2 linked regions of the Coturnix japonica genome follow. The protein of the gene in region 2 interacts with the protein of the main gene of each other region in a pairwise test. Links are inferred from orthologs where the notes say so. Each region holds a gene or a part of one and is shown on either strand. Other genes may lie near its edges.

Region 1 (2,915 bases), on a different chromosome or scaffold from region 2:
AAATGAGATTTGCAAAAGATAACTTAGCATCTTGCCAGTGCAGCAGAATTCCCTGTCACATATCCAAGAAGCAAAACTGCTTTGGCATCACGCTGGGTCACCCAGGCATCCATTGGCACAGCAGGAATGGCTCAGGGTCAACGAGACAGAAAAAAATGTACTGCTAGAAGAGCAGTAAAAACACTTTGTGTCCTCACTGTGCAATGAAGAATGTTCTGTGCGCTGCCAACAGGAAAGTGCTGTGACAATCTTCCATAAGTTAACAAGAAACCGTGCAGGGGCTCATGGCAGGAGGTAACTGACAGTAAGGTTATGTTCTTCAGGTACAAATAAGGATATCTACTCATTTTCAACTTCAGCTACTGAAGTAGAAGGAAAAATCTGTCTTCTAAGAATGCAATGAAAATACCCACATTTTCTGTATGTTCCAAGTTTGTTATCAAGCAAAGAAATGGATCAGTGCTGCCTGCTCACCTCCCTAGGGCTGGATCTTGCAGAAAGATTACGTTTTCCTGGTTTTTCTCCCTTAAAATCATGAAGTGCACGTGAAATTATGATTTCAGGGTGTTTTCACATGCAAAGCCTGAACCCTTGCAACTCACGCAAGCTCTGTCACCTTATTCCTTTAATCCTAATAGTGTTAAACTACAATATATATAAAACATAGGAAGGATGCAACTATATAAAAACAGATTAAGTCAGTCATTAACTCTCACTGCTTATTGTGTGAGCAGACTGTAAAGAGTTTTTGCCTTCTAGCAAATGCCAGACCACTCTGCGCAGTGTCATGGCTGCAGACAGGCCTGTGCTGCTGGGACCTGTCTGTGTTTCAGTGCATTCACTCCAACCCTTTGGCACTTGTGACTGCTGTAGCTGCCTGACACCAAGCTGCACTTCCAAAGAAGAAAAGCTGTTAATACAGAAGGTGGAGCACACGCTCTAAATGAAGGCTTCATTTACTGCAAGACACATAAGACTTGAAAACTGACACTGCAAGTCTCCTGCCTATGGAAATGTGCACGGCTGCCCTCTAGTCCAGTTTTTAGTGTTGCATTTAACTGAGAGAAAAGCACTTAAAACACTTTTCCATTTATGGGCAATGAGCTCAAGAAACAGGTATGGGATATTTTACTGTTCTTTCCTTCCCAGTCCAAGCCAACTGTAGTTACAACTAACACAAGTGGAAACAAAGCTTCCGTGTCTTCAATTGCATTAAGTTCCAAGAAAATTATCCTCTGGGATTTGAAGCTTACTTCAAATTACACACTAATAACTTCTCCAAAAGGTCTTGCTGAGATTTTATGTCATAGTAAAGTGTGTGTGTATATGTATATATATATATGCATTTATATATATATATAATTTTACAGTTACTGTCTTTAGTTTGCCCAACATTTACATTATCTCTCCATCGTAGCCCATGTAGAAGTCGATGCAGATACACACGCTACTGATCAAGTCCTATTTCTTGTTTGCAATTCTTCGTTTCCTTGTTGCCAGCATATCATAAAAGGGATCCCTGCTGATACTTGCTCTAGAAGAAACAACGTGAGTTGTCAGTTTGATGAACTGTTCTCTGCCTTTGAAAACTCAAACTATTTTGTTCTCACTTCCCTTTGGATGACTCCACACTTCTAATAAGTTAAAGATTGCTGACCTACAGTCACAGAATAGCTCACGTTGGAAGGGACCCACAAGGATCACTGACTGAGTCCAACTCTCAGTTCTACCTGGGACCACCTGAAATCCAAACCCTGTGTCTGGGAGTGGTGCCCAAGCACAGTGTGAGCTATGACAGCACGGAGCTGTGAGCAGCAGCCTGGTCAGCCCGGTCCATGCCCACCACCCTCTGGTGCAGCGCCTTCCCCTGACCCTCATCCAGCCCCCCCCCGACAGCTCCATGTCAATCACTGGGCCCTGTCACTGTGCCCGCACAGCAGAGCTCAGCGCTGCACTCTGCTCCCAGTGAAAAGAACTCTTCTGATCATCAAAAATATTGGTTTATAAGAGGATGTTTAGCTATGATTTGTTAGAGCTCACACTTCCATCTCAAACATAACTTGAACAAAATTCATTCCTTTAAGTTTGGGTCTACTACATAAACCTTACAAAGGAATTCACATTGTGAATGATGAACAAGCTCAAGATAGCTGTCACCAAACAAAATAAGAACGGACTAAAATTGGGATTAAGGATGGTTCTCCAAAGGCTTTGCATTTGCTTCTAATAATAAGTTAAAAAACAAACATTTTCCTCATTTGAGTCAGGACCTGCTATGGACCTCAGGACCACACAGCCCGACCATCTGCCCCAGAGACCTTGTCCTTAATCCCAGAGGATGCTGCCGAATCAGAGCTCTTCAAACAAGTTACAATGCAGAAAAGGAGCCTACACTTCATTTCTGACAGATATTTTATACTCAAAACTCACTTGATAGACTTAATCCACTCTTCTTTTTCTTCTGGGGTGGGAGCAGATATTCTGTACACTACATGGTTGCCTTCCACCACTCTGCCATCAGCTTCAGTTTTACAGGCTTTAATCACTTGGCCTTTGTGACTGGGGTTGTAGAGCTCAAAGCAGTTCTGGAAGGTAGGAAAAATAGGTTAAACACAAAGCAAAACAAACAGCTGAGAAACAAAATCATCTGCCACAATCCCAGTTCCAAAATGATTTACTAGTTCATTACAAAACGATAACAAGGAAATCTTACTGGCTTTCTTGGGTCTTCAACTTCTCTAATGCTTAGGTTTTCTAATGGAATAATCCCTCTAGGTTCTTTGTCCTAAAAAAGGGAAAGTACAGCGTTATTATTCCTTTCCATACCCAGATGACAAAGGAAGCTCACAGCAGCACATACTCACAGTTGTGTATTCAAAGTAATACAGGCAGTTATCAGTCAAAATAAACCACCT
Region 2 (4,049 bases):
ACAGCACAGCAGGCAGCCCTTACCCGGCGGGTCGCCGTGCTGCAGCCGCAGCTCCCGGTGCTTCTCCAGAGCAGCCATCTTATCCGCGGCACCACTGCAGGCCGACAGGGAAACACAGCGCCTTAAATCGGTGCAAACCAAACCCCGCTCCCACTGACCGGGCCCTGCGGGGAGACGGGTGGGGGCAACTGCCCAGGATGGGGGAAAAGAAGGTGGAAGGGACCCGCAAAGAGGGGAGCAGTAGGGGAGGAAGCCGAGCGCACCGCGCCGTGACAGACCCGCACCGTGTGGTACAACCCGCTCACCTGCCCCGCGCTGCCCGCGCGCCCCGACCGTTACAACTCCGGGCGGGGGGCGGAGCCAGCAGGACGCCCCGCCCCACCGCTCTCCCGCAGCCAATCGGAAGAAGCGGTTCCATCCCCGGCTCGCGCCGATTGGCTGGACGGAAAGCTGGCTCCCCGCGGTGTTCAGTGCCGGCAGCCGCCGCCGCGGGGCGGGGATGTTGTTTTGTTGCGCGTGCGCAGTGCCGGCAGCGCGCTCGGGTGTCCCGCGGTGGTTCGAGCGTTGGAAGCTCTGCTGGGCCTTATGGCCGTCAGCAGAGAGAGCAGAGAGCAGAGAGAGCAGAGCTCCTCGCTGCCCCTGTGAGAGCTGCAGGCCACCACGACACCTCCCTCCTGCCCCCTCCGCTCTGTTTGTGCTCCTGCCGTGCTGGTGCTGGGCGGTGCTGGAAGGCTCTGGCAGCTCCTCCGCTCCCCAGGTGGTACGTGGGGCTGGATGTCACAGCAGGACATTGCACGTGGCACAGCTGTCAGCGGTTTATTTGCAGCAGAATTGCTGCTGGCTGCAGGCACGGTGCAGACACCGCCAGGACAAAGCCCTGTCCTCAATGTAAAGCATCCTCAGATAAAAGCAGGGCTGTCCCTGCAGTGTCCCACCCTTGTGGGTGATCCAGCAGAAGCCGCTGTGGGGGCTGAGCCTTTTGCAGTGTCACCAACCCCCCCCCGCACCGATCCAGGACAGGCAGAGCACCCGCTTTGCTGTAAGTTCAATGAGAAATGACTCCTGGGGAGGCTCTGGGGGGTGTCAGGGCTCAGCTGCCTCTGCTGGGGATCTCTGCTCAGCCTCGTGTCCCCCGCTGCTGTCCTGGCCCTGCTGCTGTGCCCACCACTCCTGCAGCTCCTGGTACAGGTCCTGGTGCTCTTCTTTCCAGCGCTGGAATTTCTCAGAGGTCAGCGCGGCATCATCCAGCAGCTGCTCGATGGCCTGCAGCTCCGCCAGCTTCGCCTGCAGAGAGGAAGAACACATTACAGGGGTGTTTTGGGGCAGGAGGAGGGGCTGGGAAAGGGCCGTGGGTTCCCACCTTGAGCGTGCTCTGCAGGGCCCGCACCGCGTGCACCTTCTCGTTGATGCAGGGGTTCTTGTTGCGCCGGATGAAGGACTTGCGGCACTGCTCCTGCGTCAGGAAGCGCTGCCGTCCGATGAGGGACACCCCGCCCTGCCTCAGGCACCACATCAGGCTCTCAAGGTCCTCCTCGCCAGGCTCTGAGCATGGAGATGGATGCCATGACATCAGGCAACCCTGAAACCCCACTGGGACACCCCCACCTACAACCCACATACAAAGGGGAGTTTGGGCCAGAGATCAACATGGGCAGAAACACTGAAACGCAGCCCCTTAGTGCTGCAAAGACAAGGATTAGCCTCTGTGCTTCAAAAGAGGGCAGCTGTGAATTTGGTTAAAGGATGCACCCAGGATGACAGGCGACGTGCTCCTCTTAGCACAGGACACAGAGTCCCTCGTGCCTACCAGCACCTACCTGCAGGTGAATGGGGCTGAGGGCTGCTCTGTGGGCTGCTGGATTCACCACCAGTCTGGAAGAGCTGGCCTTTCTCTGGAGCATTCTGCAGCCTTTTATTTGGCTGGATGAGAGATGGGATGGAGATGAGATAAGGAACTGCCTTCCCACCCTGGGATGTCCCTTAGGGCCACTCACCAATTCACAGCCGTGCCGGGGAGATTCGTCATCAGGGTCCTCAGCTTCTGTCTCGCTGTAGCAATCTGGAGGCCATGGGGGAGGATGGAAGCAGAGATCCTGGGGCAGTCCCAGCAGCACCCCCCCCATGCACCTCCTGTCCATTTCTCACACTTTCCCCATATCATGGGCAAAATTCCCAATTCTCCCAACCGTTCCCCATCTCCTTCCTCCATGTTACCTTCCTCCCTGTGCGGGACAGGCTGGTGGGCCAGTGCATGCTTTGTCTTAGCTGTAATCAGGTGGCTGACCCACCTAGGGAAAAAAGGCCAGACAGACAGAGGGTCACAGCCAGCCCACTGCAGCAGGACCACTACAGGCTGCTACATCACTCACATGCTCAAATCTGCCAGCGTTTCTGCAGCAAAGACAAAGGGCTTGTACTTATCATGGGAGAGCTGGAAGACACTGCAAGGAACACAAGCTGTCCTGAGTCCGTGTCCTGCCTCCCCCATGTCACAGCACCCGCTGCTCTGCAGGGTCCCTGCCAGCACCACAGTGCCCACTCACTATTTCTTCTTCTGCTCCCTTGTGCTCTCCAGGTTGTAAGTGGCCACATTGATGAGACCTGCAGCCTTGTCATCCTGTGGGGGACACACAGCCACGTCCACTGCCCGCCTTGGAGCAGAGCCTGGTGGCAGGGTGCGAGGGCATCTTCACTTACGTTGGGGTGGTTGTACCAGTAGAGCGTGTGGCCCTTCAACACAAACCAGCAGCGCTTCCACTTCTGGGCCATGAAGCCCACATGGTCCTTCTTCTTCAGGAGCCAGCCATCGCAATCCACTCGGCCCAGGTCCCGGCATGAGACCCGCCGGCGGCTCAGCCTGGTCGCCACTCCTGCAGCATTTTGGGGGGCTTCAGGAGCGGGGCAGGGGGACGAGCCCCCAGCCCACCTCACCCCAGCCTGGGGACAGTGGCGTCCCACTCACCTTTGGGTCTGCGTCCCGTCTCAGGGCTGCCCTGGATGGGGACAGATGCAATGTGAAGCAATGCAGCACCCACAGCCTCGTGGGACCCCCACCTCGCCCACCCTTCAGCAGCAAGCTGCCCCTAAACACGATCCTCGTGTCCCCCATGAATACCCCGCAAAGCTCCATGCTCCCACCAGTTCTCACCTCCCTGGGGGTCTGGCTGGGCTCTGCACTTTGTGCCCTGGGGGCTGCTGTGGGGCTGCACTCTGCAGTGCAGGGTTGGAAGGCACACAGTGAGCTTGGGGTGCCTGGTGGGGTGCTGGCCTCCTGCACTGCGTCCTCCCCAGTACCTGTAAACAGTGAGCAAGGCTGCAGCGTCCTGTCCTTGGGGGAGAAATGAATCCTTCCCCTCAGCCTACTCCATACCGAGGCTGAGTGCTGCTGGCTGGAGCTCACCCACGTCCTCCCTGTTCTGGCTTGTGCTGTGCTTGTCCTTGTCAGCGGTGGGGTCCGGCCCTGAGTCCACGTCGGCAGTGGTGCTGGGGGAGAAGGGTCCCCTGAGCCACACAGTGCCCCCTGCCCGGCTGTGGGGCTCCCAGTACTGCTCCCGCCCGGAAAAGCTCCCGGCAGCAGTGAGCTCAGCCCACGGAGCCAACGGCTCGATGTGCTTCTTTCCATTCCGGGCGAGGAGAAGGGTCATTTCTAAATATAGTTCCCTCCCCATTAAAATGTTACCAAGTGAATTAATTACAAACAGAGGCACTTCTCTTTGTTTATATTGTTGCTTAAGACTCCTGGCAGCTGCCTGGGCTGCTCGCACAAAGGCTCTGCACTGTGGCGAAGGGACGCGAGGTTGGGGCTCACCTGGATGCAGGGGACGAGGGGCTGCTCGGGCACTTGCTGCTTTTGGGGAGATCCACACCATCCAGATGGGCACCTGGCACCTGTGAATGGAGACTCAGTGCTTCACCTTGCATTGTCGCATTTTGGGATGACCTCCCATAGGGCTGTCTCCCAGCACAGCCCAGTCCGGCACTGGGATCACTGGGAATGCTCACCTGCAGCCTGGTGGGCAGGGGGCAGCCAGGCAGGCTGAGGGGCACCT

What was found.
Region 1: the proteins of CNKSR1 (region 2) and CYTH3 interact in binary tests that used the Homo sapiens proteins (3 or more experiments, as listed by UniProt). The two-hybrid records come from large-scale screens. The link is inferred for Coturnix japonica from reciprocal best matches to the Homo sapiens genes CNKSR1 and CYTH3.

Annotation. Positions count from the first base shown.
Region 1 is NC_029529.1:8,526,615-8,529,529, reverse strand, and holds part of CYTH3 (cytohesin-3), read right to left. Parts: coding exon 2,865-2,915; intron 2,786-2,864; coding exon 2,714-2,785; intron 2,586-2,713; coding exon 2,431-2,585; intron 1,535-2,430; coding exon 1,462-1,534; 3' UTR 1-1,461. UniProt on the Homo sapiens protein: Promotes guanine-nucleotide exchange on ARF1 and ARF6. Promotes the activation of ARF factors through replacement of GDP with GTP. Plays a role in the epithelial polarization.
Region 2 is NC_029538.1:256,954-261,002, forward strand, and holds the end of CNKSR1 (connector enhancer of kinase suppressor of ras 1), read right to left. Parts: coding exon 4,003-4,049; intron 3,889-4,002; coding exon 3,809-3,888; intron 3,484-3,808; coding exon 3,371-3,483; intron 3,295-3,370; coding exon 3,149-3,294; intron 2,994-3,148; coding exon 2,963-2,993; intron 2,871-2,962; coding exon 2,698-2,870; intron 2,618-2,697; coding exon 2,544-2,617; intron 2,442-2,543; coding exon 2,370-2,441; intron 2,289-2,369; coding exon 2,215-2,288; intron 2,060-2,214; coding exon 1,995-2,059; intron 1,921-1,994; coding exon 1,818-1,920; intron 1,543-1,817; coding exon 1,361-1,542; intron 1,285-1,360; coding exon 1,084-1,284; 3' UTR 798-1,083; downstream 1-797. Other genes in the region: CEP85 (centrosomal protein of 85 kDa), read right to left, coding at 24-94, 306-418. UniProt on the Homo sapiens protein: May function as an adapter protein or regulator of Ras signaling pathways.